7 linked regions of the Danio rerio genome follow. The protein of the gene in region 3 interacts with the protein of the main gene of each other region in a pairwise test. Links are inferred from orthologs where the notes say so. Each region holds a gene or a part of one and is shown on either strand. Other genes may lie near its edges. The genes, in order: lnx1, flad1, trim23, klhl42, morn4, hoxb5a and phf1.

The links.
Region 1: the proteins of trim23 (region 3) and lnx1 interact in binary tests that used the Homo sapiens proteins (3 or more experiments, as listed by UniProt). The link is inferred for Danio rerio from reciprocal best matches to the Homo sapiens genes TRIM23 and LNX1.
Region 2: the proteins of trim23 (region 3) and flad1 interact in binary tests that used the Homo sapiens proteins (3 or more experiments, as listed by UniProt). The two-hybrid records come from large-scale screens. The link is inferred for Danio rerio from reciprocal best matches to the Homo sapiens genes TRIM23 and FLAD1.
Region 4: the proteins of trim23 (region 3) and klhl42 interact in binary tests that used the Homo sapiens proteins (3 or more experiments, as listed by UniProt). The two-hybrid records come from large-scale screens. The link is inferred for Danio rerio from reciprocal best matches to the Homo sapiens genes TRIM23 and KLHL42.
Region 5: the proteins of trim23 (region 3) and morn4 interact in binary tests that used the Homo sapiens proteins (3 or more experiments, as listed by UniProt). The two-hybrid records come from large-scale screens. The link is inferred for Danio rerio from reciprocal best matches to the Homo sapiens genes TRIM23 and MORN4.
Region 6: the proteins of trim23 (region 3) and hoxb5a interact in binary tests that used the Homo sapiens proteins (3 or more experiments, as listed by UniProt). The two-hybrid records come from large-scale screens. The link is inferred for Danio rerio from reciprocal best matches to the Homo sapiens genes TRIM23 and HOXB5.
Region 7: the proteins of trim23 (region 3) and phf1 interact in binary tests that used the Homo sapiens proteins (3 or more experiments, as listed by UniProt). The two-hybrid records come from large-scale screens. The link is inferred for Danio rerio from reciprocal best matches to the Homo sapiens genes TRIM23 and PHF1.

What each region holds. Positions count from the first base shown.
Region 1 is NC_133195.1:25,268,389-25,272,394, reverse strand, and holds part of lnx1 (E3 ubiquitin-protein ligase LNX), read right to left. Parts: intron 2,031-4,006; coding exon 1,822-2,030; intron 176-1,821; coding exon 1-175.
Region 2 is NC_133191.1:24,178,610-24,183,250, reverse strand, and holds the start of flad1 (FAD synthase), read right to left. Parts: upstream 3,085-4,641; 5' UTR 2,755-3,084; coding exon of another isoform or gene 2,698-2,754; intron 70-2,697; exon of another isoform or gene 3-69; coding exon of another isoform or gene 1-2. UniProt on the Homo sapiens protein: Catalyzes the adenylation of flavin mononucleotide (FMN) to form flavin adenine dinucleotide (FAD) coenzyme.
Region 3 is NC_133185.1:12,467,698-12,471,703, forward strand, and holds part of trim23 (E3 ubiquitin-protein ligase TRIM23), read right to left. Parts: intron 756-4,006; coding exon 573-755; intron 483-572; coding exon 267-482; intron 188-266; coding exon 53-187; intron 1-52.
Region 4 is NC_133179.1:18,226,286-18,229,899, forward strand, and holds part of klhl42 (kelch-like protein 42), read right to left. Parts: intron 2,232-3,614; coding exon 2,038-2,231; intron 1-2,037. UniProt on the Homo sapiens protein: Substrate-specific adapter of a BCR (BTB-CUL3-RBX1) E3 ubiquitin-protein ligase complex required for mitotic progression and cytokinesis. The BCR(KLHL42) E3 ubiquitin ligase complex mediates the ubiquitination and subsequent degradation of KATNA1.
Region 5 is NC_133188.1:44,273,095-44,277,840, reverse strand, and holds the start of morn4 (MORN repeat-containing protein 4), read left to right. Parts: upstream 1-1,759; 5' UTR 1,760-1,879; intron 1,880-2,210; 5' UTR 2,211-2,222; coding exon 2,223-2,289; intron 2,290-4,746. UniProt on the Homo sapiens protein: Plays a role in promoting axonal degeneration following neuronal injury by toxic insult or trauma.
Region 6 is NC_133178.1:22,445,917-22,450,479, reverse strand, and holds hoxb5a (homeobox protein Hox-B5a), read right to left. Parts: upstream 2,885-4,563; 5' UTR 2,798-2,884; coding exon 2,218-2,797; intron 1,603-2,217; coding exon 1,355-1,602; 3' UTR 489-1,354; downstream 1-488. UniProt on the Homo sapiens protein: Sequence-specific transcription factor which is part of a developmental regulatory system that provides cells with specific positional identities on the anterior-posterior axis.
Region 7 is NC_133191.1:49,886,650-49,891,382, reverse strand, and holds the start of phf1 (PHD finger protein 1), read right to left. Parts: upstream 3,078-4,733; 5' UTR 2,760-3,077; intron 2,387-2,759; 5' UTR 2,386-2,386; coding exon 2,308-2,385; intron 2,182-2,307; coding exon 2,100-2,181; intron 1-2,099. UniProt on the Homo sapiens protein: Polycomb group (PcG) that specifically binds histone H3 trimethylated at 'Lys-36' (H3K36me3) and recruits the PRC2 complex. Involved in DNA damage response and is recruited at double-strand breaks (DSBs).

The sequences.
Region 1 (4,006 bases), on a different chromosome or scaffold from region 3:
TGTCATCCCGAATGGTGGCCGTGTGGGCAGGGAAGGCCTCGGTGGGGGAGTGATGATGGGAGCGGTAGCGATGGCGCTGCTCTCGCAGGACGGTCAACCGCAGAAGTGTGCACGGCTGCTTCAGAGCCGCCACGGCATAACAGTGAGGCACGTTACTGATGTCAATGCCATTTACCTGAAGAGACCACACAGTATGAGATGATTAATTTATGATTATGTACATGTTTAAAGCTCAAACAGCAGAGAATGATATATCATAACCAATTCCAAAAGCCTGAGTTTCATGTAGTACTGTCAAACAATTATTTAGGATTAATCACAATTAGGCTTTGGATGATAACCGTTTTCAAGGTATATCGTGGTTTGGAAAAGTCAAGGTTTTAAAACCGCCAACGTCTTCTGCCATATCATTCCTATGGTATTTGTAAGATGATTTTTTTATTTTTTTTATTATAATTTTCTGTTTGTTTTTAGGGCAATAGTATCTCCAGCAGAAAAGATATAAAAAATTAATCAATGGTAAATAAATCTGTTATTTTTTTTAAACTAATGAAGACAGAATCAGTCAATGATTCATTTGAATTACTTAGGCTGACATGTTTACTGCTCCAAAATATTTTAAGTGTTTCTCAAAAGAAAATATATTGTGTTCAAAGGGGTAAAAGTTTTAGTTTTTTACCCAGACATTTAAAAAGAACATAATTTAGAGCACAATACCTTGGAAGCATTTTTTATATAAGGTTATCATACCTTCAGAATCTTATATCAGCCAATGCCTAATCACAATTAAAATTGAAGGTTGCATTTACCTGATATAAGTGTTTGTAGTTTGTATAAGCTTTATGTAAGATAGGATGTACATCTAGCTGGTTGTTAGCATACATATTTTAATTTTAAGTATGATTAATTGCATAAATTAGCACACTATTGAAAGGCCACATTTTAAATGTTAATTTTATTTAGTGTTATTTTTATTCATTCATTCATTAACATGCATGGGATTAATAGCAAGAAACACACTACTGAAAGATCAAATTTTAAATGTTAATTTTATTTAGCGTTATTTTTATTCATCCGTTCATTAGCATAGACTAGAACATCTAGACATAAAATTCTGTCCATGTCCACATCTCCATCTAAACAGCTAACACACCAATTACTGCATATTTTTAAAACCAGTAATCCAGTACTCTTATATGCAACAATAGAATGTTTACTTTATAAATACACATTATTTTATTTATAGTGTCCTTACAGTACATTTTACATATGCCATTATATCTAGATCTACGTTGTTTTATTGTTTTTAAAATATATTTTAAATTCTTATTTTTATTAATCTAACTTATTCCAATGCACTCACTCATTTTCCTTCATCTTAGTGTCTGATTTATTAGGGACTACCACAGTGGAATGAACCGCCAGTTGACTTATTCAAATGTTTTTCTAGTGTTCTTGTGTTATATATCTATGTATACAAAGTTCCTGGAACCCACAATGAATTCCTTGCATGTTTGTACAGACTTGGAATATAAAGCTGGTTCTAATGTTGATTCTGGGAATGCTGCATATCTGCTTTTTTTAGGCTTATGGGACATTAACATAATCACAGCTTAAATGTAAATATAAGAGCATCTCTGCTTATTTTATATAACATGATCAAATTAAAAATGAAAGCAAAAGGCATTAAAATGTCTACATGCAGAATCCTAACACGTTGCTCCTCTGAACAACAGATGGTGACAACATGTGCTATCAAAACCGGGGTGATTTGCTCCTACTGTACATTGACGTAATCTCAGCTCTAGCACACATACGCACCTTAAGAATCATATCTCCAGGTAGTAGTCTTCCATCCCGAGCGATGACCCCCTCGCGGTAGATGTCTTGTATGAGGATGCGTACTAGAGGGGTCTCATTGCCACCAACAATACTGATTGCCAGTGGTTCACAAGGATCTGCCCTGGTGATCTTAATACTGGTGACCTCACCATCAGGGATTAGATGATGCAGCTGAGGTAATGCGAATACTGAAACAGAGAGAGAGAGAGAGAGTTTGTGTAATCAGTGAACTGAACTCCCACATGATCATCACTTTCAGTGCTACACAAACAGGGCATCTGTCCAGAGTAAAGCCAGGCCAAGCATGACTGCAGGACTTAAAAAAGCATTACAGTGGTCTGTTGGTGGATGCAAGGCTGGCAGAGACTTTATATGAATGCATTAAGATAAATCTTACAATTAAAGGGGTGAGTTTTAAGTAAAATTAAACTTTTTTCCACAGACAAATGTGCATACTGTAGCGCTGATCAAAAATCTGGAGCTAATATGTTATTTTTTATAATAGTAATTCGTTGTTTTATTTAAAAGTAGTTGTTGTGTTGATTAAAACTGACAGGGAAAAATGTATGTCTAATAATAACAAATGTAATTTATTCAACTTTTCATTTGTCAAACCATTTTCTTTTTTCAAGGAACTACACAATTGTTAAGAGTGCCTGTTAAGAGGATTTTTGTAATGATGCTGACTATTTGAAAATAAGAAATAAACCAGCAATTAATTTGATTTAAGCATATTTTTCCAATATTGAAACTCGCAATTTTAAATTGCAATAATATTTCATAAAAACTTATTTCACCAGTTGGATAATTTTTACTGACCAGCTTTGGCGGTATAACAATTACCAGCAATCTAGGGACTGCAAATCGCTCGAGAACTACAAGCACCATATTAATGAACTACACAGCAAATTCATCAGAGTTAAATTCTCGGTGTTGAAGCATTTCAGAGTAAAGTGTTGACGTTAAAGAGTTAAATTTTGATAAATGAATATAATAAGAGTTAAAATTGATTTTATTCAGTGCGAAATCAAAGAGTTATCTTTTCAATACTTGGTGGTGTTATTTCCAACATCCGGGAATTCATGCAGCCCCAGTCACTGAAGAATTTTCCAGACGCCATTTTCCATCTGAGGTTTAGAACAGCAACTGGTGAGTCAAACTACCTAAATGTTGGTATTTTACTGACTTTCTTTAAGGAAATACAGTTGTAAACATATTGTTAAGTTAATAATTTTAGAATGGAGTGACAATTTTAAACTTCTGCGGTTCATTCATGGTCGTTTGTGTATAGCTTAACTGCATTACTATTCACTTCTTTTCAAGAATGTTTTTTATATATGCTCACGCATACATAGTGCATAAAAACATCAAATGTACATGTTAAACACATTTATGTCACGCTTAATGCTATTTTGTGCGTTGTTACCCATCTGTAAAATAAAATCGACACTTCTCCTTTAATTCAAAGCAAACTAGCGAGGGAATCCCCGGAGCAGCCTAGCCTACTCTGCCTGGATGCTAACGGCAACACAGGACGGTTTCCATGAGCTCTGGAGTTTCTAAAACATATCTGGTGAGTAAATGAACATGCTTACTTGTAAAAGGCTTCCTGACTGAAACATATGATTGTTTGTTATTCGTGTACGTTAATTTGGTTATTTTAAACACCGCAGCCCTTTTAAACTGGTTCATTCGTGGCTGTCCAAATAACGTTAGTCCATAGACTCGTGTGATAACGTAACAGTTACGCTTGAATTATATTAAGTGTTGACTTCCATTAAAGTCGGAATGTTAACATTAATGTCTTTAAATGACCGCGTTTGCACTTTATCAGACATTTGACGTTACAGAAGTCTCCCGGAAGTTGCGGGACTAACGTTAACGTTATCCCGCAAATGCACAGAGACTCCCAGATACCCAAGTTGATGCCCGCAAATGAATGATAATCTCCTGGAAATCGCGCGTCTCCCGCCCGGTCATTAAACTTTGCACGCCCCTCTCCACCGCATCCCTCCCAGCTCTTAAGGTACGTCGCGCGCAAGTCACCCCCACCTCTCTTCAGGTACGTCGCGCGCAACTCATCTCATTGCTCTTCAGGTACTCATCTCTCCCTCTCTTTAAGTCTGTTTTGAGTGGACCCCATGAGACACTTTCAAAGGGTTGA
Region 2 (4,641 bases), on a different chromosome or scaffold from region 3:
ATTCAGCCGGAAAATGATGACACAGAAGAAAGGTAGAGAAAGAAAAAGGAAGAGACAGATGGAGAAGGTCTGTTGGGAACAAGCACAAAAGTCTGAATATTTTGTAGTCTGCATGACTATCTAAATAAATAAAAAATCCTGATATGGCTTAGAGGGGCGACGCAGTGGCGCAGTAGGTAGTGCTGTCGCCTCACAGTAAGATGGTCGCTGGTTCGAGCCTTGGCTCAGTTGGCGTTTCTGTGGGGAATTTGTACGTTCTTCCTGCGTCGCGTGGGTTTCCTCCGAGTGCTCTGGTTTCCCCCACAGTCAAAAGACATGTGGTACAGGTGAATTAGGTAGGCTAAAATTGTCCGTAGCGTGTGTGTGGATGTTTGAGTTTGTGTGGATGTTTCCCAGAGATGGGTTGCGGCTGGAAGGGCATCCACTGCTTAAAAACGTGCTGGATAAGACGGTGGTTCATTCCGCTGTGGCGACCCCGGATTAAAAAAGGGACTAAGGTGACAAGAAAATGAAATGGCTTAGTGCAATAACGAACCTGCAATCAATAATGGTCCCATGTTTTCATAGAGCAGCATGATACTTATCTGCACGCGCTCCTATTTTAGGTGGAATGTAATGTATATTTGTAAGTTAAACATGCACCAATCATCTTCCAATGTTTTTCAATGAAAAGAGGTTATAAATAATTTGTTTAAACACAAACAGTACTAGGAACTCCAAAGGTTCCACCAAAATATTTTCTTAAGGTAAAAAAAAAATATTTTTTTAAATATTTGTGTAAGAGTATAATCTCACATATTATTTTATGTTTACAATTGTATTAAAGGGAGGGGATTTTCTGATATGAATCATATGCATGTCATTGCTTTTTCTGTATGCCAAGTGATCTTCAAGCCCATTGAAGGGAACCTCTCATGTGGAACTGGACATTTGTGGTACTTAATCAGCAGCCACTAGATAAGAATTTTACTGTGCGTCAAAGAATAAATAATATTAATGTATGGTTAATGATTCTAATGTATGAAAGAGAATTTCTATGCTTAGTTAGCTGCCAGAGGCAAGATGTATATTCTACCAGTGTTAATAAGATGGCTGAGAGCACAAGAAACGGCCTCAAGGATAAAACAGTTTGTACTTTGTGTGTGTTCTATTCTTTAGTGGACCATTCTTACTGATTTGGGGTCAGCTCTAAATAGCCTACTGGGCTGTCTGACCTTTGTATGCTTGATGACCAAGTAATCATTGGAGATAATGTTCGGAGTCGTATGCAGATGTGGAATTTTCTGTCAGACAGAAAAGACAGACTATTCATTTTTGGGATAAAACTTCCCCATCCAATAGCAGACATGCCCAAACTAGGGCACGCGGGCCAAAGTTGGCACATTGTATCATTTGACTTGGCACACCATCCCATCTGAGAGGAGAGTGAGAATGATGGGAAGGGTTGGAGCAAATGCCTTTAAAAGATATTGTAATTTCTAGTTTAATGTAACCTATTTTGTTTGTTTTTTTGCTGAGCCACAAAAAAATCTATATGAAATTAAATGTTTCAATTACATATTTGCAAATTAATCAGATTTTTTAAAATATAAATAGTCACATAAGAAATCAAAGCAAAAACAAGTGCAGCTTGACTAGTGTAACTCCATTTTGTTATAAATGGGACTGTTTTTAACAGTAATAAGATCATTATGAAAATGTTTAAATATATACAGCATTGGCTATTATAAACAATGTTTTCTAGTTATTTCTGTACATTAAATAGATTAAGAAATTACCAATGGAAACCTTAATTTAGTATATTTACCTTCGGCATACCCTCAATCAAGTTTGGTTTGTGGCCCCTCATTAGAAAAAGTTTGGGCACCCCTACCCAACTGTATCATGAAATGTGATAATTTTCTTAAATACTCATTAAGTTTATTTACAGAGCAATTATAATTTTTATATTTATTTGTTTAACTTATTATTGTAAGTAATATAGTATTACAACTACAGGATAACAACTACATATACTATTATCATCATAAATCAGACAATCTTAGTCTATCAGTTACAAATATCCACAGGAAACATGAAACTTATTTTATTTTATTTCTGATTATAAATAATATTATAAATAACGTAAATCATTATATTATGATTTTTATATCCATAATTAAATTATCAATTGTAAATTATCATACTTTTGTTTTAATAATTGTGCAATACATAACAAAAACACAATTTTCAGCTCAAAGCTTCTGAACTTTTACATACACATTATTACTTTTTCTCTAAATTTCCACATATCAGTCAAAAAAAAAAAAAAAGAAAGAAACAGCGGTCACTGCTATGTTTTCAGATCTGCTATGCTATGTCTTGCTCGGTTTACTACTGTAATTTTATAACTTAATCTGAATTGAAGTAAAGCTACACAACTACTTCGTACTAAGAGCAATCTGACAAACGGTTTTCCCTTTACTTTTATCCAGTCCACTAACTTGATTATTAATTACATTATTACATTATTGTTAATGTTGATTATTAACATTAACTATATTATTTAGGGAGAAAAGTACACAGGACTAATCTCTTGTATCTGTGCCATTAGACATCAGCCAATGAAATGAAACAGCTGCAACAGCAGCTTGATATTATATAAACATACAATGTATCAAAAGCAGAGACAAACACACTTATGATCGTCATTCTTACCTGGTCGGCATGTAACTGTATACGGGCGTTTGTCCGGACTGCGTGACCACCTAACAACTACATAATAGATCATTTATCATGTTGAAGACTGAATCAGGCAAATCAATGACTGCATTACAGTTCTCAAGGTATCGTCGCGGTCATACTGTATGTGTGATGTCAAAGTCCCAAGTGCGCCGCACGTCCGTACCGTGAAACCAGAGTAAGCTATTCGCAAACATTAAACGCAGCTGAAGATTATAACCAACACAGTGCGAAAAATAAAGCTGAACCTGATTCTACGTTTCCGACGTTGGAATTGTTTTGTAAATGTGTATTATCGTGCGAGAACTCGCATAACAGCCTGCTCGGTCAGTAAGAAACTTGGTTGTACAACCGTCACGTGACGTGTCTTGGCCAATTGAAATGAGGCGATGATTTACTTCCTAAACAAACTGACCAATCACCTTAAAGAAGGCGGATACTTCCTTGGGAAGTGAAAGCGGCGACGTTCATGTAATATACTTGTTTTTACTTCCATGTAATATGCAATTTCTTATTGGTTTCAAAAACAGTCAACAATAGATTACAGAAACTCAGAACATTAGTAAAAGACGGATGTTGTTACAACCTGCATTATACATTTTAAAGAAGAGAGAAAGAAGTAAAAAAAAAAACATACAAGTGAAATAAAGTAAATAAAGGATGTAATGTGCAAATACAGAAGGGTAAAGTTGTTGTGTGAAAATATGTTCACCTGCAGTCTGTCCCATGACCAAATAAATGCATCCATGTTTTTGAATTATGTAATTTGAATAGTGTTTTACATTATTTGTGATTGTTAGAGGTTTTCGTTGTAGTGGACAGAAAATGTAAACTTGACAGAATAACTTCCACTTTAAATAGTAACAGTAATTACTAATAAAAATATTATTATTTTATTATTAATAATAATATAAATAACAACAACAATAGTATTCCAAACCTTTTTATTATAGCAGCTTGCATTGTTTTTTTTCTGAATTAGTGGGTCAAAACCTTGAGAAAAAAAATGAAATACAATACTAGAAACGTAGTTAAATTAGTATATATTTAATAAAGTGGCATTTGTAAGTTTAAACATTACATTTTAAGATACACACATCATGTGGAACATAATCAACTGGGTATTTATGGTGAAAACTAGTAATGTTTTCAACTGCAGTGTGTTAACTTTATTTCCACACATAAACGTTACCTCATTACATTTCGGTACAGCGGTTGATTTCAGTCGTCGTTTACTTCCTCTGTTCAGACTGAAATCGTCCTGTGCGAAATGTTCACTGCACACCCTCAGTCCACGGATGTTCCGAATTGAGGACTTTGTGTCTCGACGAACAGCGTTCAGCCACAGATTCAACCTTTTAAAGTCTTGAAGGGGCAACGAGTGAAAAGTCAAACTTTCCTCGTGCGATGACGCCGACTGACGGAGTCTGAGGGGTTTCTCACGGTTAAAGCATCCTGGAAAAGCACACACGCGGACCATTTTGAAAACCCCACCGTTATAACCAACCAATAAAGTTTTGCGGGCACTTTCTCTGTTGCTCTGTTGTTGTAGTGCTGTTTAGTTTGTAGTCCTGAAACCCGGAAAAGATGTTTCAGTTCCAAACCTTCATATGTTTCCCTCTAGCGGAGGGGGGGTTGTGATTCATAATAGTGAATCGGTTGATTCACTCACGGATTCGTTCAGTGTTGTCTTCAGCAGTAGGTGGCGACATGAGAGTGACTTATCTGACTTTATGAATTGATTTTAATTAAGAATTTATTTAACACAGAAAACATCGTATTGTTATTAATAAATCAGTGTGACTACAATAAAACAATTTAAACCAAGCAAATCTACAAAAATATTTTTATTTTTGCCAAATGGGTGTGACTTTGTATCAATCAAAAATAAAATAAAGCTACATTTTAGCATTGTTTAAT
Region 3 (4,006 bases):
AGTAACATGCATTTCTTTTTCTCTCAACAATGATCTATATGATTAACAGTACCTTAGTGAAAGTAACAGGGATGCCTGCATCCAGCTGAATGTGATCGGCCAGCTCTGTAAACTGCTGCTGCTGTTTCTGCAGTGTCTCCAGCAGCCGGTTGATCTCCTGTTTCGCCAAAACCACCCTGCAATCATCCTGGCACAAAAACAACAAACTCAAATTCCTGATCTTTTGATCATGCTGGTTGTGTGACTTAGCATGCCTTAGATTGTACCTGCTGCAGTGTTTTCTCGCAGTGCAGGCAGGCTGTGGACACCTGAGACAGCAGTATGGTCATATCCTCCTGCTGCTGGCGAAGCCAGATCAGCCTTTCTCGGACGTGTGCGTCCACCACACTCAGAGCCATCTCCTCTTGGCGACACAGTGTCTCATGTAGATCTGCAAAGTAGGCACGCACGCAAGACCGGGCGCTTTCTGCAGTACCTGGAACCTGTGTGGAAACCAATGAGGAGTTTACTGAAAACCTCTGGTGTAAATGCATTAAGAAAAAGACTATGATTACTCAAAAACGTGTTCATACATGTTCAGTGTGAGCGATGCCCATGCTGTCCTCCACAATCTGCTCTCCTCCTTCTATCTGCTGCACAATGCCCACTAGTTTCCTGGAGTACTCCGACACTTCCTCTGTGAATGTGCGAATGCAGTGCGCCATATCCAGGATAGACGCTCGAATCTGGTTGGCTTCAGCCTCTAGTACAGCATGCTGGTTTAAAAAGGAAAGATTGGTGTATTAAGCAAAGTTTTATTTTTTACAAAGTATGATAAAATGTATTTATATTTTAAAGCAGACCAAATATTTAATGGTTTCAGCTTAAGTTCCTCATGTTAAATTGAGAGATTGAATTGATCTTAGATTCTCAGATTATAAACTTGTATCAACCATCAAGTTAAAAACAATTATTTTTTATTCAATACAACAAACAACTGATGATGTAACCCTTAATCATTATTGGCGAAGTAAAGAAATACTAGTGATGCATCTTGTTTTAATACTAAGAATTCATTATTATTCATTTATAATATTATTATTATTATACTTTGAATTTGAAATCGTCAATTTAAGACAATAAAATAAACAAATGTTGTTTTCCATTTTACTTCAGTTAATTTCATTAATTCAAATAATTATTTTCATGACTTATAAGATACAACATTCATATGTGAAACTTTTAGTAGACCTGCTTCAGATTTATTAGAACAGAAACAACACCAACATAAATGATTACTTTAAAGTCACATTTCAAGCTATTTCAATGTAGTTACAATAAGCAAAACTTAACCAACACATCTAAAACTATTAGGGATTCTTACGATAATAATAATGCAATAATATTAATAAACTTTACAAATACAAGTATTGAAATTGGGAATGAGAGCCATCCTAAACCAAGGAATACATGCCAATATTTAACCCTAAAGTCCAAACAATACTTCAGTGTTTTACAGGTATGCTAGGTTACGCAAACAATGTGTATGATGCAAAATTTGTCATCAGTACAGTATGAATTAGGGTTGGACGATATGGTCAAAAAAATGTAATCCCAGTATTTTTAGGAGGAATGACAGTATACAATAGATGGCCAGTATTTTCCCATAAATTTTTACTTGAGATTTAAAATCTTTATTAAAACTATATTAAACAGTTTTTGAGCAAAACTTAATTCAAACGCAGGTTTCTCTCCCTGTTTACAAATAAACAGCTGCACAAAAATAAAAGCTGCCGAAAATCTTTGATAAATAAAATACTGTACATGTTTTCTCCTGCTTAAAATTATGCTGCACAACACTTCCAAATTATATTAAAAAATCTTTGATAAATAGTACAGGGTTTTTTATGTCTACTGTGCTGCTGTGCAAATAACAAAGTAAACAGAACCATTGAAACCATAGCTACATTGTCAGGGCAAAAAAGAAACACACTTAAATAGTAACACAACAAAAAAGTATTACAGATGTTACTACTTCAATGTGTTCCTTATGCCGCCATTCATACCGCGGCGACGGCGGTACTTGATGCGCCAGCAGCTTTTGACCGCTGGGTGGCAGTTTAACCACAGATATTCAGCTTTGCCTTTTCACAACACTAAACAGACTTTTCTGTGCGTACCTTATGTGATCAGATGTGTTCAATTAAAATATAATTTTGATTTAGTTTTCTTATAGTGATAAACATGATCTTACCAGGGCTTAAAGTATTCCGGCACCATGCCGGATCTACGGCGTGCGGCCGTGAGAGAAAAAAAAAATAGAGCTTGCACATGCGGTTTAGTTGGGGATGCTCAAAATAACTGATTAAGCAATAACCGAAAGGGTGCGTTTGTAACCGATGAATGGTATCAGTTAAACGATTAAAATATGCTTTATACATTTTTAAAGTTTGGCTGCATACGGGGCATCTGTTTAATGGTTTACTGACTGCCGCCAGTGTTTTACGCTCTGCTTATGCTTGCTCAGCGGGCTTTAAGTTTTGCCGTTGCGCTGTGTGCTCGAGTGGAAAAAGCGTGTTACCTCTGTTTCATTGTTCAGTCAAATGAAAGCACTGCAGGCTTTCTGTTGAGGTGACAGCGGGGTTTGGGTTGTCAATGTGAGTACGATAAACTTTTAAAGATTGAGGAGAGACTTGTGGTCGCTGTTTCAAGTTATCCAGAGCTGTATTTATAGATCTTAAATATCACAATATTATTAAAATTACAATTATAACATCGACAGCAACTCGACTCGCGCACACCAGCTAATTCAGTCGTTTTCTAGTGACATACAAAAGAGGCTTATTTTTTTCTTGTCAACCATAAAAGGCAGCGCGGTACGTCGCGCGTTTTTGCAACGTAAAGGCGTGCGCTTTGTGATCGGCCCCTAAATGTACAACAAATATTTGTTAACTCTTGGGATGGTAACACATGCAAACACACGTTTCTACAGACAAATTTTGCCAAAGAAGCAAAATGAAAGAAGGATATTTCTCGTCACAGTTTCACACAGTGTTGACAATAACCAGCGCTGATGCAGATCACCTCTGTGCTGTATGGAGCCGCTTCATAAACTTAAAAAAAGCAGGCTGTTGATGATTTAGGGTGGGCTACAACCAACAAACCCCTTTTTTATTTATTTTTTTATTTTTTGAAAATTACAGTTATTAATAGTTCTTATATAATATCAGCTTTTAAAATAGCCTACAATCTACGAATCAAACAAATCCAAAGATTTTCTTGATTTTTGTATAATAATAACTCCGCACCAAACTGAGGCTTTCATTTTATAGCTTAAAACATGTATGCAAATGTATGCAATCTCATATGTAAGGGCTGTGACGGTCACCGTGACGACAATCACTCTAGAACACACATTTTCTGTTTTGTTGCCAAATAGCCTATACATTTATGAACATAACGTTAACTTAGACGTGATACAGCAAGTTCAAGTTCAGCCATGAACCTTGCCGGAAAACTTATATTACATCGCCAATCTGGAAACATTTTGGATTCGTGGCGAACGAGTAAGGCGAATCAATAATTAGGATGAAGCTATTTGTAGGGCTTGTTTAGAAAAATAAGTGTTAAATGGACAAACACGTCGAACCTCCATAGCCATCTGTGGTAATGTCACCCAGCCATGACATGCGGAGCCAGCTCCGGTGTCATCTACTGAACGCAAATGCCCAGCTAGTCAGCCAGGTATGGTAGAGAGGCCTTTTCAAAAATGGGCAAATACAAAAGAGAAACTGATAAATAGTAGACGTTGATGAGAAATGGAGCAGCATATTTGGTAGTTGAGAACGCGCCGATCCACAATGTAGAGCTGGTTTCCGAGAAATGCAGGCGGCGGAGCAAGATACTCTCTTTGCCACGGTTGCGAAAAAGTATCTGTATGGGCTACAGGCACACAGTCTCAGTGCTGCTGGAAACATTGTAATCTCAAATAAGTCTCCGCTTAAACCGAACAAAGTCAACATGTTAG
Region 4 (3,614 bases), on a different chromosome or scaffold from region 3:
ATACACTGAAATCAGAATCTTAAAGGAGGCATAGTTGTGTGGAAACATAGTTGTATGGATATAGCCAGCATCTAATGGTAAAAAATAACTGATTCTGTTTTTAATAATCACACTTCATATAAACAGTCTGCAGAAACACTTTGATTGACATTCTCCCTTTGTACATGTCATTAGAGGAAAGCCCCACCCATTAGTGACAATCTGTCTCTCATTAGCATAAACCGCCCTAAATGAGAAGCAGCCATCCACTATTAGAGTTTTAGGATGTTCGTAGCTCCACCATCGTTTGAAACGAAGGCTGGGATCACATAATTACATTTTAATTTAAAGCGACAGTCACCAAAATAGCGCAATTTAGATTAAAGCCTAAAAGAGGCAGTTTCAAAGAGATATACAAGATCATTTGTAAGGTATTTTGAGCTGAAATTTCACAAACACACTCTAGTGACATCAGAGATTTATTTTACATATTGTAAAACAGGGCATAATAGGTCCCCTTTAAAGGTGATTTTAAATACAGTGGTCCCTCTCCATAAATCGCTCTTGCGGATTGTTTTTAGTGCAATTTGACATGCTTTTTTTCACAGCGCATTGTTTTCTGCGTCCTAATTAGCGCATTGTGTTCTGCGTCCTGATTGGCTGTAGACCATTTTCAATCAATCACCTCCATGCAGTGTCTCCTGTACAGCACAGAATGCGTTCAGCTTGCCAAATTAACATCCATCTTTGATCGCTAGCAGTGTGACTCGGAAGTGCTGTACTGTATGTTTACAAGTTTTTTCCCCAAACAAACCCCATAATGTCAACGAAATATTCTGCACTGTTAAAAGTACCTGTGGTAGCACCTAAAAAGCAGAGGAAGACGCTAACCATTGCACAAAAGTTGGACCTCTGGACATGCTAAAGGAAGGAAGAAGCTACACGAGTGTTTATACGAGAAAAAAAGTGTGAAAATGTTAATGTCTATCTGAGAAAAGAGTGTAGTGAGGGGTTTTACAGCCTTAAAACATTTATAATAATTGTGGAAATTGTGGAAAAGCGGACTACTTCACCGATTTCAGCTATTGTCTACTTTTAGAACGAACTCCCGCGATTAACGAGGAATCACTGTATAGTATTTTGTTTTAGTATACTGTATATATCTTTTCGACTGTGACATGCAGCTATGCAAATATTAAGACATTACTTGATTTACTGGATTTATTAGGTACAGGACTGAATAAAATATGAATATTTATTAAATTAAAGGTGTAATAATATTCATATCAAAATCTAAGTAAAATTATAAATGATCAATTCTATTTTTATTTTCAGAAAATTATCAAATTTATTATTTGTGCATCAAATATCAATTTCGTACCACTTCTGAAGTTAAAGCATTTGTATTGTGATGTCTCAAATGAATATACAGTAAACATGTCTGAAAACATGGCGCCATTTTGTTATTTTATGCAACAAAAAAATCTATAAATCCTATTTTCATTTTAAATTTGGACACGGGTCTTCAGTAGTTTACAGAATAATACAAAAATAAGCTTGACTCAAATACAGTTAGACTAAAAATACATATAACTGTAAGGCTGCTGGCACTGACCATACTTTGTATTATTACTACTTTATAAGAACACTATGGAAGCCCATGTCTGTCACAAAATAAGAGGTAATTGTCACTTTTGATTTTACAATTCTGACTGTTTTCTTAAAATTGCATAATATGATCTCACATTTGAGACGTTAAGACAGAATTGCAAAAACCATATTCATAATTGTGAGAAAAATGTCAAAATTACTGAGAAAAACTAGATATAATGCCACAATTCTAACCTTTCACCTTGTAAATCAAGGTGTCTTTTCTCTTGCGAGTTAAAAGTACAGAGTTTTATAAAAGTGCTCATAAACTTCTGACATAATAAAAAGCAAACAACTTTATATCTGTCATTTCTGAGCCCAAATTCTGAATTGTACTTATTTTAATACGCAGTTCTAAGGGGGTTTCTGATTCTGCTTCTGAGTGTGTGTGCTCTTAGTGAAACTCACCTTTAGAGGTATAACCGCCCATGACGTAGATCATGCCCTGACACTCACAGGCAGAGAACTCAGCGAGAGGATCAGGCAGAGGCGCCACACACGTCCACCAGTCCTGCTCAGGACTGTAACACTCCACTGTACCCAGACAATGACCTCCAACCGCATACAGCTTCCCACTCACCGCCAGCAGCTTGAAGTTTGATCTGGACATAAAAAAAGAGCAGGGATACAGTAGCTCACCCCAAAATAAAAATGCGGTTATTTTACTCACCCTCAGGCCATGCAGGATGTAGGTGACTTTTTGTTCAGTGGACCATTAACTATTTTTGCCATCGTCCTTAGTGATTCATAAAATGCAAGTCAATGCATTTTGAGAGTCAAAAAAATAATAAAAAATTATAGAATAGGGAAGCACTGAAAATTAAATTATGGGCCAAAACCAAAACCAATAAATTCTTAATAACCTTAGCCGCAAGCAAAAAAAATTATATTGTAAATTGTACCAAGTACTAATTGGAATAATTGCTTATTATTATGTTATTACACAGCATAAAGTAATTGTAACCCAATAACTTACATTATATGGATTTTAAGAAACAAACCAATAACCACATTTGGTCACACAGGCTTTTGCTGTTATTGCCCCAAAACTCTGGAACGGGCTTCCACCCCACATCAGACACACTCCAACTCTATCTTTTTTAAAAACGCTTCTGAAACTCCATCTTTGTTCTTTAGCATTTGAGTCTTTTTAATGTTGAGGGGTTTGCCTTATGTTTTAATTGTTATGTGATGTAGGATCTATTTAAATTAATTTTAATTGTGTTCAGCACTTTGGGCAATGTTGTGTTGTAAAAAATGTGCTATATAAATAAACTAACAAAACTTTATTTTGATGGTCCATTTGTTGAATTTACTTTGAATCTACATGCCAATTATTTCTCATTAGATAATAAGTAGACTGTTAGGTTGGATTAAGGGTTAGTGTAAGTTGACATGTACTTGCAAAGTTTCTTATAGTCAGTTAAATGTCTGTTGAAGGAGCAGTATCAACATATATTAAGCAAGCAGACAATCTACTAATACTCAAATGTACCATCAAAATAAAATATTACCTTTCATTTTATTGACTGTAAACTGTTATTGACAGTAAACAAGTCGAGAGTTGACATTTTACCAACGTTGCATACCTGCTGCATAGTAGTGCTATTGCAAGCTATTGAAATGAATTGGCTTATATTGCAGCACTTTCTGAGTCCAGTGTGAAAGTTGCTTCACTTCACACTAGGGCTGGGCAATATGGCAAAAATGCTATCTGGATAATTATTCTCCATATTAAACGATAACAATATTTCAATATAATTTGTTAATGCTTACAGTTTTTAAAGGAGTACCCCAACAATGACTGAAGCCACAAAAATGAAAGGTTCCATTAAATAGCATAATTTATCCATTAAATAGCATATTTTTCAGCCAATAAATTTTCAGTGGCTGAAAATTAGGGACATCTCTAAAATTGACACACTTTTAGATCGCATTTCTGCTCTGTGATTGGCTTATGGATCAATATAGAGTAATAAAATCCA
Region 5 (4,746 bases), on a different chromosome or scaffold from region 3:
TAGAAAATAAATAAAAAAATCAAAAAATGTTAATGATTAATATCACACACACACACACACTACGCACACGAATGCGCACACACACACACACACACACACACACACACACACACACACACACACACACACACACTCAGAAATAATTAAACCACTTTTGATTTTTTTTTTCTACCTTTTTTTTTTTAAATAATTTTTCAAATGATGTTTAACAGATTAAGGAAATTCTCACAGTATGTCTGATAATATTTCTTCTTTTGGAGAAAGTCTTGTTTGTTTTATTTCACCAATAATACAAGCAGTTTTTAATTTTTTAAAAAACATTTTTAGGTCAATATTATTAGCCCCATTAAGCAATATTTTTTAATAATCTAAAGAACAAACCATTGTTATACAATAACTTGCCTAATTACCCTAACCTACCTAGTTACCCTAATTAAGCCTTTAAAATGTCACTTTAAGCTGTATAGAAGTGCCTTGAAAATTATCTAGTCAAATATTATTTATGGTCATCATGGCAAAGATAAAAGAAATCAGTTATTAGAAATGAGTTATCAAAACTATTATGTTTAGAAATGTTTTGAAAAATCTGCTCTCTGTTAAACAGAAATTGGGGAAAAAAATAAACAGGGGGGCAAATAATTCAGGTGGGTTAACAATTCTGATTGCACCTGTATATAAGAACACTAGTAATTTAATCAGATTTAGGGTTAAAAAAAATAATGGTTTATGTCAAAAAAAAAGTTTTTATTACCGAATAATATTTCTGCTATTAATTGAAATAATCCATTGAGAATTTTATTTGCATAAAGAATCTGACTGCAGCCAGTGTTCCGCACAGAGATATGATCTCACAATTTATTTTTCTAATTCATGAAACGTAGATTAAGAAACTGTTCACAGTGAGGATAAAGTTGCTCAGACAAAATAAAATACCTGTATAATATTCCTCCTTAATAAAATATTACAAAATGGGCCAAATTATGCTATAATTAAAATGCTGAAAGACAAAGTGCATGCTGTAATTGTAAATAATCTGTTGACTGTGTTAATGGCTAGCAAATGGGACTTCCATAACAATTTCTTACTCAAATTGTTTATCAAAATTAATGTACATAAAAGTGTAGCAACAATTCGCAGAACATTAGAATAAACCTAAACTAATACAAGCTTAAAAATAGGACATCTCAATTTAATTTAGGAAGAGTTAAATAAGTTAAATGCCCACTTTAGAAAAACATAACCATGGGTTTATTATAGTACAAGTGTAGTAATGATGATGTTTTGGCAGATTTATTACCATAACCGCAAGTTTACTGCATATACCATGGTTAGCTATGGTGTCAAAGTCATGCATACTTTTGGTTTAGCTACAGAAACATGTTTGTGGTAAAACATTTCCTTTATCAAACTGTTATCAAAAATATTGTATCGTGTTGTTAACAGTACTAAACACAGACATAAATTACAACATATAAATTAAGGCTAATAAACTCCCGTCACTGTTTCAGTAATTGTGTTTGTTGTTTAAGGTGGTCTAACTGTACTGCCTTGAATGAAAAAAAAAGGTTAGTTCAAATAGCAAACCTTAAAATAGGCAGCAGCAGTGACAGCATTACTTACCTTTGTAAACAGCACTAATGAGAAGAGTCCGTATCACGTTACCCTTGCCAGTGTGGCTCTTTTGTAGACATTGATCAGCCAATCAGCGCTCGCTGAGAGAAGCACAACATAAAACATCGCGAGATCTTTAAGGACAGAGAGATTCAGCGAGAGGAACTGAAACACCGGCGAGCCAGGACCCAATTTTCTCTGTATCTGCGGATCCGCTGGACAAAGCGAAAGGGTTTCATGCTCTTCAGACCGCATATAAACATAACAGGTAAATGAAATCTCCATTTGCTGGCGTGAAATAACGCGAAACGGGTTTTCACAGGCTGTAATTGAGAAGTGGGATGACGTCACCTCAGCCGCTGCTTTCTTTTAGTCCGTAAATGTTTAAACGTGTTCGGCGTAAATGAACCGTTACATTATAAATGATACAGTATCGGCTAAAATTAACCACCACAGGGCTCACTCTGTTAGACTGAGCTTTACACTGTACACAATACGACTGTGTGTGGGCTTAGGTGATGTTCTGTTCATGATCTGCTTATTACATTAGTGTAATTCTGCCACCTAACGTTATTGATATTCATCTGTTTTGTGTGCAGCTTGGTGGAGGTATGACATTAACCAGGGGCTCCTTCACTTATTCCAGTGGAGAAGAATATACCGGAGAATGGAAGGAAGGCAAGACATTTCTGAATCACTTTGCATTGCTTTTGAATGATCATTTTTAATAAATAGAGCAGGTTGTCACGTGGTTTCACATATGCACATAAAGGCTATAAATTATGGAATTAGTTTACATTAAACATTACTGTCAGATACACAAACACACACATGCGCATATATATATATATATATATATATATATATATATATATATATATATATATATATATATATATATATATATATATATATATATATATATATATATACACATACACACACACACACACACACACACAGTTGAAGTCAGAACTATAGCCCCTCTGAATTATTAGCCCCGTTTATTTTTTTACCCAATTTCTGTTTAACAGAGAGATATTTTTCAACACATTTCTAAATATTATCGCTTTAATAACTAATTTCTAATAACTGATTTATTTTATCTTTGCCATGATGACAGTACATAATACTTTACTGGATATTTTTATATCTATCAACATATTCGTTAGACTATCGAAAAAACATATAGCTTAAAGGGGTTAATAATTTTGACCTTAAAAATTAAAAACTGCTTTCATTCTAGCTGAAATAAAAAATATAAGACTTACTCCTGAAGAAAAAATAATATCAGATATACTGTGAAAATTTCCTTGCTCTGTTAAACATCATTTGGAAAAAATTAAAAAAGAAAAAAATCTAAAGGGGATAATAATTCTGACTTCAACTATATATATATAGCAAACTATTAGACAAAGTTGCAATTTGGTGTTAATAAAATTACAAAAGTCATTTTTTATGCAGAGAAAGCAAAGTACCTATTTTGTTTCAAATATATGTTGTAAATAAAATTATATTAATATATTTTTTTTGTTTGTTTTAAAAGGTTTTTATTGAGATATTCATTGCATTGCATTGCACAGCATTACAGTAAATATTACATCTCTATTTTTTTTGCAAAAATAAATAATTAATAAAAAATTATTTAAAAATAAATAAATAATTTGTAAACCCAGAATACACTTTTCAAAAAACACAAAATGCTTAACCTCTAAACCCCCCACCCCTGGGACCAAAGCTTATGCAGTAATGTTGGTGTGACCTTCACCATGTGGGTTTTTAACCTACGCTTTCAAGATAGAGGAGAAGAGGAGACCAAATATTGTCAATTTGTTTTCAATTTCTTTGCCATAAGAAATCTGATTATTTCCAAATATGCTAATTTAGGTAATTCTTCCAGCCAAGATCTAAATGATGAGGATTGTGTTGATTTCCAAAACCTTACCACTAGCTTCTTTGCCACAATAAGGCTGTAAGACAACAGTTGTTTTTGAGAATCCTGGAGTGATCTAGTTTTGTCTGAAATTCCGAATATGACCAAAAGTGGGTTGAAAACTGTTTCACAGTGTAAAATTTTAGATAGTTTTAAATATTTCAGCCTAGAATAGGATCAACACAGAGTATAACTATGTAAGGAAGTGGCTAACTCCATCTTGCATTTATCACAGAATAAATCTACATTTTTAAATGGGTGAAAATATGTTCCATGGTCATTCAGTATAACAGATGTATTTATGTAAAAATAAACAACACACTTATTTTGACTTGCACTAATAATAAGTGATAAATAATATATTTTACATTATTTTAATTGATTAAACGTGTTGGTAACAAGTGGGTTAAACCTTTGGGGTTGGGTTAAATTTTTTTTATGTCTTTTAATGTCATTAATTCATTTGTGTTTTAAATAAGCACAAAAATACTTTTTTTGTATATTATTGCTACTCTAAAATGCAGTTTTAGTATTTTTGGGATGGGTGAAAATCCCATTTTTAAATGGGTGAAAATATGTTCCATGGTCATTCAGTATAACAGATGTATTTATGTAAAAATAAACAACACACTTATTTTGACTTGCACTAATAATAAGTGATAAATAATATATTTTACATTATTTTAATTGATTAAACGTGTTGGTAACAAGTGGGTTAAACCTTTGGGGTTGGGTTAAAAATTTTTTATGTCTTTTAATGTCATTAATTCATTTGTGTTTTAAATAAGCACAAAAATACTTTTTTTGTATATTATTGCTACTCTAAAATGCAGTTTTAGTATTTTTGGGATGGGTGAAAATCCCATTTTTAAATGGGTGAAAATATGTTCCATGGTCATTCAGTATAACAGATGTATTTATGTAAAAATAAACAACACACTTATTTTGACTTGCACTAATAATAAGTGATAAATAATACATTTTACATTATTTTAATTGATTAAACGTGTTGGTAACAAGTGGGTTAAACCTTTGGAGTTGGGTTAAAAAATGTTTATGTCTTTTAATATGTCATAGATTCATTTGTGTTTTAAATAAGCACAAAAATACTTTTTTTGTATACTATTGTTACTCTAAAATGCAGTTTTAGTATTTTTGGGAGATTTTCATTATTTTCGTTTAAAAAGGAAATTAAAAGGACT
Region 6 (4,563 bases), on a different chromosome or scaffold from region 3:
TGGGCAATAGGAAAAGCAAAAATACAGAAGGCAAGTGACCGTTGGTACACTGCGGGGACCTCCACTCGGCTCTCAAAACTTAGAGGTAGAGAACAGTTTGGCACGCATGGTAAGTTTAAAGGTTCAGTGTTTGTTTACTAGGACGCAGAAATAAGAGCGTTTGTAGATTATATAAACAATCTGGAAAATGTGTATGTTTCGTATAATTAACTGTATTTTTTAACCATATTCTGTACACGCCAGGTTTAAGGTAAAAATTTTAATGTGCGTTTTCTCTTAATAGTAAGATCGCTATAGCGTTTTGAGTATGAACTGTCAATATAAAACGTCACAGATCTGCATTGTGCCAAAATATTTCTGTCACATATAAGACCTTTCAGAATTTAGAGTTTCAGAGAATATTTGAGTGTGTAATCGATAACTGTCAATCACTGACAATAATTAGATGTCTGGAATGTGTTAGAAGAATAGTCAAGAAAAGTAGAAGATTTGAATATGAGGAACTTTATTTTTTACTCCAAGTTAAACTACAAACAAATACAAAAAGCATTTTGGCAAAATGCTAACAGGCAGATTGACATGACTTTTTTCCACATTGCCGTTTATTCTGCCCACTACAAATAGCCAACTGATCACAATAAAAATGTTCAATATATACAACCTTTTTTGGAACATAAACATGATCCAGTAATATACAATTATATATTTGGAATACAACTATACACACGTATGAACGAGTACAAGAATCTAGCGAGGTCTATTTACACCATTTAATTATTTTTTTTTTTTCAAAAAAAAAATAATAATAATAATAGAAGATTGTGAACACATGACAAATCGATTGTGATTATTTAGACATTGATTAAACAGAGGACCATGAAACATAGGCTTCTGCTAAATTTACTGCAGTCACCTCTAAACTAGAGCTTCACTTCATACAAGGGCAGATGCGTTTCTAAGCTGTAAACTCAAAAGGTAGTTATACACGTGTATAGGTAAATAAGTTATAACATTTAAGAGCTCACATGCTAACTCTCAAGAAAGCATTAACATAGCACTTGACACATAAACAATATTTGTAACAAGAACAACAAGCGTTATATTGATAGCTTCTTTCCCTTCAGTTTTATTTACTTGCCAAAATTAAAGTCACCATAAAAGAACAACATATGAACACTAATTTTTGTTTCATTATAGCAGTACCACAGTAGAATTTTAAAATGCCTAAAACATCCATAACATGCCGAAAGGTGCCGCGATGTACAGTACTCTGTAGGTAATGTTTTGAGATCTCTTTTTCATCTCATTTTCCGCGTAATTTTTTGCACACCACGTAGCAGGTCTTGGGATACAACTATGGTTGGAAAGCGCTACCTGCGGTAGCCAGACTCATGCTCTTCAGTTTATTGTCCTTTTTCCATTTCATCCGCCGGTTTTGGAACCATATCTTAATTTGACGCTCTGAGAGGCATAGAGCGTGGGCTATCTCTATCCTCCTTCTTCGGGTGAGGTATCTATTGAAATGGAACTCTTTTTCCAGCTCTAGCGTCTGATAGCGGGTATATGCAGTTCGGGCCCTTTTGCCGTCTGGTCCAGTCATATCTGAATAATGTGGACAAAACGCAAAGGGGAACAAACATTAGCAATAATCGGCCTGTACATTATTTCAACAACAGTTTCCAACAACTTTTTCCTACAGATACTCATGAGTGGCACGTTTTACACCTAAATGTGTACAGGGAAATCACCAAATGGTACAGTGCACAGCGCCTCACTTTAGGCTCAAGGCGTTTGTTTTTCCTTCGTTAGTTAAAACCTCAAAACTTTACAGAAATAAAGCAGCATTTAACAAACGTAATAATTATTCATAAACGTTACCTTTTCCGCGGCTTGTTTATACAACCCACAACCTCGGCTTCTTCCCATGTTGTTGTTTTTTCCATTTTATTACCGGTTCTCAAACACTAATCACATTCCCACACATCATAAAGCTGAACTTTTCACAGAAACAACAACTTGGAAACCTTCCTGCCTCGCTGCCCTCTCTTCCACCCCGCTCCCATTCTCTTCTCTACAGTTTGCGAGGCTCCACACTTGATAGATTTATGGCATTTTCACGAATATTTAAAATAAAGGCTGTTACTGACGCCACACTAACATTAAACCAGTACGCATTTGCTAACAAAGAAATAAGACATAAACATAATACGTATGTACCATGGCTAATATGTAGTTTCCTCATCCAAGGGAATATTTGGGGAGCTTGGCCATCGGACGTCGCCGAGGTAGTGGAGGTTGCCGTGGTCTCTTGCTTCTGTTGTGTCCGGGGTGCAGAGTTGTTCGCTCTGTGAGACGCCTCCTCGGTCTCCGATGAAGCACTGGCCTCGTCGATTTCTGTAAAATGTGTGTTGCTGTTGAGATTATTACCCGCAGTGGTGGTGCTTTGGTCGGAAGGGGGCGAAGAGCCTTTGGGTCCAAGGCTTTCGCTGTTGGAACAAGGCAGCGGCTCCGGAGACGCGAGCGAGCAGCTTGATGGCTGCCGGAATCGCGTCTCCGGAGCTGGAGACTGGAAGACCCGGGAGTTGTCCCCAACCGCCCCAAAGTGGCCAGTGCTGGTTGAACGATTGACGCTTAGGTCCATTCCATTGTAGTTGTAGCCGTAAGAGCCTGAATGCATGGTGCCGGAGTCCCTGTACGAAGCGTTCATAGCGCTGCTGCTAGTTCCATAATTTAGTAACTGATAGTCAGGGCCATTTGGGTAGCGCCCTGAGAACGAGTTTACAAAGTAAGAGCTCATTTAGGTTGTTTTAGAGGGCTTGATTTGTAGATCTTGGTCGTTATAACGCTGTGCTTCACGATTTATGATGTATTAATGAATTATAGCAATGCACTGTACTTCGTTTTTGCTATGTATGCGGCCAAATATGGGGGTGGGGGTGCGTTTGAGAATCACGTGCTTTTGTTGACCAGTCGTAAATTCTCACTGATGACTTCAAGAGGTAATTCATGCTCTATGGTTACAAATGATGACGAGACGGGGAGTCGTTAGACTTGAGTCAACGTGTTCCTCCCATTGCAGGGATTTGCTGGAAGTAAGCGGACAGCGTCACCTACTGGGAATGAAATTCGTTGCACTCTCACAAGATATATTCTGCGCTGAATGCCACTTTACTTTCTTTTAAGCGTAAATAAAAATTCTTTTGTTTGCATTTTTGCAATAACGTTAATAACGTTTAGAGTACCTATTGACCATTTACACATACAACATCCCACATACTTTATAATGCATGCTTGATATGAAAATATAATCTAATGTTTAACTGTCACATGATTCTGATAAAAGGAAATAAAATAATCGTACTCGAAACACGTAGAGAATATATTAAATGTTAGGCTTTAGAATATCAACTGTTGTGATGATGTAAAAACTTAAGTCTACTTTGGTACGAATTTAAATTTCTCTACCTATAATATAAATTAAAGGACTTAACACTAAATCAATTCAATTGTAAATCGGGGGAATTAAAACATATTTACCTAAATGTCAGTAGCCTATATCTTATCATTGGTGCTACCGCAAATATATTTCTTCAACGTAAAAAGCGGTGTGATTTCCAAAGTTCCAAAGATGAGTTTCTGGTCAGACACTGGATATAAGGAATGTGAGATCATGATTTATGTTCCAAAAAGATATATGGTTTGTTGACAAAGTGCCAATTGCTGCTTCGTGTTATATGCATGGTGTAAATCATAACAAAAACCTATATACACTGTTGGTTTTGTTAAATGCAGAAAAGTACACTTGAAATACATTGACCCAAATATTGCATTGATATTTTAGCAATATTTAAAATCTGGAAATGCACAAAAGGACTAGCAGGTTTACCACCATTTGTAGCCTTCGAAGAAGCGTGAGGCTCTGTAAACGTTGAAAACGTGTAAACGTAAACTCGTTTCTGCGTAGAAGAATAACTTGTGTATCTGGCTTTTATCTAGGCCTTTAAATATAATTCTATAAGCTATGTCTGATTCTGGTTTGCATTTTGTTGACGCAATTAGCAAACTCTACCTGAGATATTTGGGTTATTATCGCTTATAACCCTCCAGGCTCTATGTCTCAGGGTGAGTGACCAGCGCCGACAGGTCAGCTTTCTCTTTTGGTTATCTATTAAAATCTGCTGAACCTTCTCACCTTACACTTTGTTGGAAGTATTTTGGAACCAAGTTGTCAATGTTCAGCCTCTTAATAGTGCAAAAAGCGAAACCAAATTCCTAACCAACGAGTTTTTGTTCATTTTATTTGTTTAATGAAATCACTAAAAGTCTATCTAAAATAAAACATCGTACAAACAAATATAAGCACTTAAAAATATTATCCGCAGTGTCGCACTAGTTTAGAAGTGCAGTTTTACAGCGCTGTCAATATACAGACTTATTTTACGTCGACTTATTTCTCCTTGCATCATTTACGGGTCATTAGATCACTTAATTTGTTTAAGCTAGTTTTCTTGACAAAAATGTATGAAAGTATACAGGCGTTACACCGCAATGAGGACCAATAAT
Region 7 (4,733 bases), on a different chromosome or scaffold from region 3:
CTCTCTCATAGTATTTTGCAATACTCTTTTTTTAATCTCTTTTTTTCCTTACACCTGTTATGTTTTTGCTTCATTCTCATTTGTGTTTTTGCAATTCTTGCAATGTTCCTGGATATAGCATATATTTGAATTTGTATTATTACTTAATGTAATGTTTCAAAGCTTATAAAAATATTTTATAAGCTTTGAAACATTACATTATTTATTTATTATATATATTATTATTTTTATAAATATAAAAAAATAAAAAAATGACATCAAGGCAGTTTACATGAATTGTAGGGTTCAGGGGTGGACTTAGTGATTTGGGGGCCTAAGCAATTCCAGGTATGTGGCCCAAGCACTGAAACTTAAAACATTCTCTCTCTCTCTCTCTCTCTCTCTCTCTCTCTCTCTCTCTCTCTCTCTCTCTCTCTCTCTCTCTCTCTCTCTCTATATATATATATATATATATATATATATATATATATATATATATTCTCTTTAGATTAGTTTTTTTAATAAATAAATAAACAGCATGTTAAAAATATATATTTAAAGTAAATTTGATGTATTTTAATATTTAAAGGAAACTTTATTTTCTTATTGTCAAATTAAATGCAATAAATTCACCAAATAAACTAAGTACATTTAATTAGCCATTTTTGTGATTAGATTTTATTACAAATTAAAAAAACATTTAAACAAAATTTATTCACAATCCATCAAACTAATCTTGTCACCATTTTTCCCATAATCTTGAATAATTGCTGTTTGTGAATTGTCGGTCATTACTTTTCACTGGGAAATGTTATTTTTGTCGAAGGTTGCTAGTTTGAGCCTCGGCTGGGTCAGTTGGCATTTCTGTGTGAAGTTTGCATGTTCTTCCCGTGTTCGTGTGGGTTTCCTCCAAAAACATGTAGTATAGGTGAATTGAAAAAGCTAAGTTGTCCGTAGTGTATGTATGTGAATGGAAGTGGGTGTTTCCCAGAGATGGGTTGCAGCTGGAAGGGCGTCTGCAGTGTAAAACAAATGCTGGATAGGTTGGCAGTTCATTCCGCTGTGGCAACCCCAGATTAATAAAGGGACTAAGCCAAAAAGAAAATGAATGAATGAATGTTCCTTTACTTTTCATTGGGAAATGTTATTTATTTGAACAGATCCTCTCTTGACAAGCTCACAGCGCTCATCATCTGACAGGTGTTTCGGCCATCGTTTGTCTTATTTCTACTTTTGTCCCCCAAATGTTCTCAAAATGTTCTTCACTTTTGCTCTACTCAGATCACTGGCAGGCTGACAGTCTTTGAACTGATCACACCTCACCTATGGGCAGTACGTTCCACTATTCATGGGGGCCCCTGGTTTTAAAGTGGGTACCACGTTCGCCTCACAGCAAAAAGATCGCTGTTTCGAGCCTCGGCTGGGTCAGTCGGCATTTCTGTGTGGAGTTTGTATGTTCTCCCCGAGTTCATGTGGGTGTTTGCCGGCTCCTCCCCCACATGTCCAAAGACACATGGTAAAGGGGAATTGGGTGAGCTAAATTGGCCGTAGGGTATGTGTGTGAATGAGTGTGTATGGATGTTTCCCAGGGATGGGTTGCAGCTGGAAGGGCATCCGCTGCGTAAAAAATGCTGGATAAGTTGGCGGTTCATTCCGCTGTGGCAAACCCAGACTAATAAAGGAACTAAGTCGAAAAGAAAACGAATGAATGATAGAAAATTTACAAGAGAGCTATACTGTATGTTGAATATAGGGTTCTTGACATTGATTGGGGCCCCCTAATTCCCTGGGGCCCTAAGCAACTGCTTACCTCGCTTATAGGTTAAATCCACCCATGGTAGGGAAAAAATTAAAAGTATAAATTTTGTAATTTTGTTCTTAAGCTTTCAAATAAATAAAACGTTTAATATATTACTTTTGGTGTTTTTAATTTGGTGGCAAAGAGCATCAGTGTGTGGATGTCAAGCGGATGGCAAGATTTGGACATCAAGTCGATTTGCAATTTGAATGCGTTTTTTGACATTATACTTGATGTCTATTGGATGTCGTTTTGACATCAAGCTGCTCACCGAGATGTTTACGCTTAGTTTTTGACTTAAAATTCAGAGTTTTAAACTCACACGAGTGGATGTCTTTCCTGAGGACCCAGAATTCAGAGTTATCCTCAAATCTGATCAAACAGCACTGCTTGACACTGTCCACCTGCAAGACGAACACATCCCAAACAACACCACACTCATTTTCACAAGTACAAGTCGCAGTTTTCAAAACTTGCTTTTTCATCCTCTCCACCGGCTCCCTCCTCCGAACAAACTTGGAGAAACTTACTCGTTTGACATTGCCGAGATATAAAAGTCCATCGCTCCACCTGGCCAAAACATCCTCTCCTTCACTGACTCCCCCCATCCTGAAGAGAGCGGGAAAGAAGAGCGCACAAAACATCCAGAGGCTTTCAAATCAAGTAGCAAACAGCAGCAGCCTAAAGGGTTAAACTCTGTGCATAGCGACAGTATACAGTACAGTAGGATAAATGATGAAGAGTCAATGCACATTGCAGTGCCACACATGATCAAAAAGAAAAAAGAAGGGGGAAAAAAACACTGGCTGCTTTATGCAACCGACCGTAATGCATATGCAGATGCCACAACAATGCATGCAAAACGCGCGGCCAGATGTGCACTAATCAATGCGCGCAACTCAGGAGAGCTGACACACATGACGGCGCGCGCACGCACATATCAATTAACACGCATGGCAGATCATACGTGCACGGGATGTACCTGTGTGGAGTGATCGGCTCTGCTGGGGTCACAGAGACGGGGAAGAGATGTCAGTCTCACATGAAACGCCTGATGGTGACCGGTGTTGTTCTGCGTCTCAATCACTGTCCCGAATAATCGGCGCGTTTTGGAGAGTCGCGGCGGATCAAACGCGCGTCAGTGCGCAACCGTCTGTCCGTCCGTCCGTCTCTCTCTCTCTCTGTCCGTCTTCATGTCTCTCGGTTTGATGCTTTCAAGCGTGTGCTCGTCAGGAGATTCAGCCCGAGAGAGACGCCATCATCATCATCTCTGCCTCTCTCTCTTTCTCTCTCGCTCTCCTTCGACTTGTTGTGACGCAGACATAAAACACAGGGAGATGGAGAGGGAGGGAGATCCGGAGAACACCTTCACATCTGTGCGACTGACCGACTTCCCACCGGACTGAAAGCCGGCACGACCACCGCCTGCGCCCCTACAGCCCGCGATAGGAGCCCGGCCGGTGCCGCTCGCGCTCACAGCCTCATTAGGGAAAGTTTGACGGGGTAATTAGTCCGGCAGAGCCACGCCGTGGACTTTCTGGAGAAAGTTTGAAAATGCCCTTGGGTGCCGGCTGGAAAAAAAAGTAAAGAAAAAAGAGGCAAAGCTGCTGCGCGCAAAAAAAGAATAGAAAAAGAAGTTTAAAAACAATGTTTTGACTTATATATATAAAAAATAAAGAAATATAACCGCAATATTATTATCATAAATTAGAAAAAGGGCTAACGCCCAAAAAAAGAAAACAGATTTTTCTTATTCCATATTAGATAATGCAGTTACAGGATTATTATGATCATAACTTAAAAATGAGTGTAATGCAAGACAATAATAATAACAATCGAAAAATACAATAAATTACCACTTTATGACGATTGCATTATTAATCAGTTTTGAATAAATTATGTTTACACTTATATTTTCATATAATTATATACCGTCATTTTATTTTGTTTATTAATAATATTTTATTACAATATAAGTTATACATTTATGAAAAACATTACTCTGGCTATTCATAATGTACATAAATTTACATTTTATTAAATTATTTAATATACATTTCTCATATTGAGTAGATCAGTAGGTTATTAATGCTCAGACATGAGTTCTTTTTAGCGCTTTTCCAAAAATGTATTAATAAAATAAATCATTAATAATTTTAATAATAATAGTGTGTGTTCACTATCTATCTATTCATTATATTATCTATCTTAAATCCTGGTTGCCTCAATTTTTAAGCTGAATCAGATTAACCTTATGAGTCCGCTGAATTTATATGTTAAACTGACTTAAAACAGCTTCTGTAACTTATGAAATTTAGTTAGAACATGATTACCTTAGTTTAATAAGTTACAATGACCTAAAATATATGCTGTCATGACATATTGATCATATTTTACAGTGTACAGTGCTCAGCATAATTTAATAATATTTGATTAATTTCTCAATGGATATAGGCAATTATTTTGGTGCATTTAAAAAAACAGATTTATTAAACATATATTTATTAAAACAATATTTTAGTCACCAAACATATTTAGAAATTGAAAGATAATACAATTAAATTCAAGCTAAATATTGCAAAGTTTCAACTCTACTTTTTTTTTTTGTATTTGTTGTTTTGATTTTTCTTCTTTTAAATTTGTATACATATACATTTGGGTGTACTAGTTTTTGGACCGTTATCGTAAGTTATTTTGTTAGATAGACTCCAGATTTGGCTTCAGTAATGTACACTCTCAGAAATAAAGGTACAAAAGCTGTCACTGGGGTGGTCCCTTAACAAAAAATACAAATCTGTACCTTAAAGGTCCATATTAATACTTCAACGGTGCATATTAGTACCTAAAAAGTACAAAAGTGTTCCTCTTAAAATTTGTAGGTACTAATACTTTTAAGGTACCAATATGGACCCTTCAAGTACAAATGTGTACCTTTTGAAAAGGTACCACCCCAGTG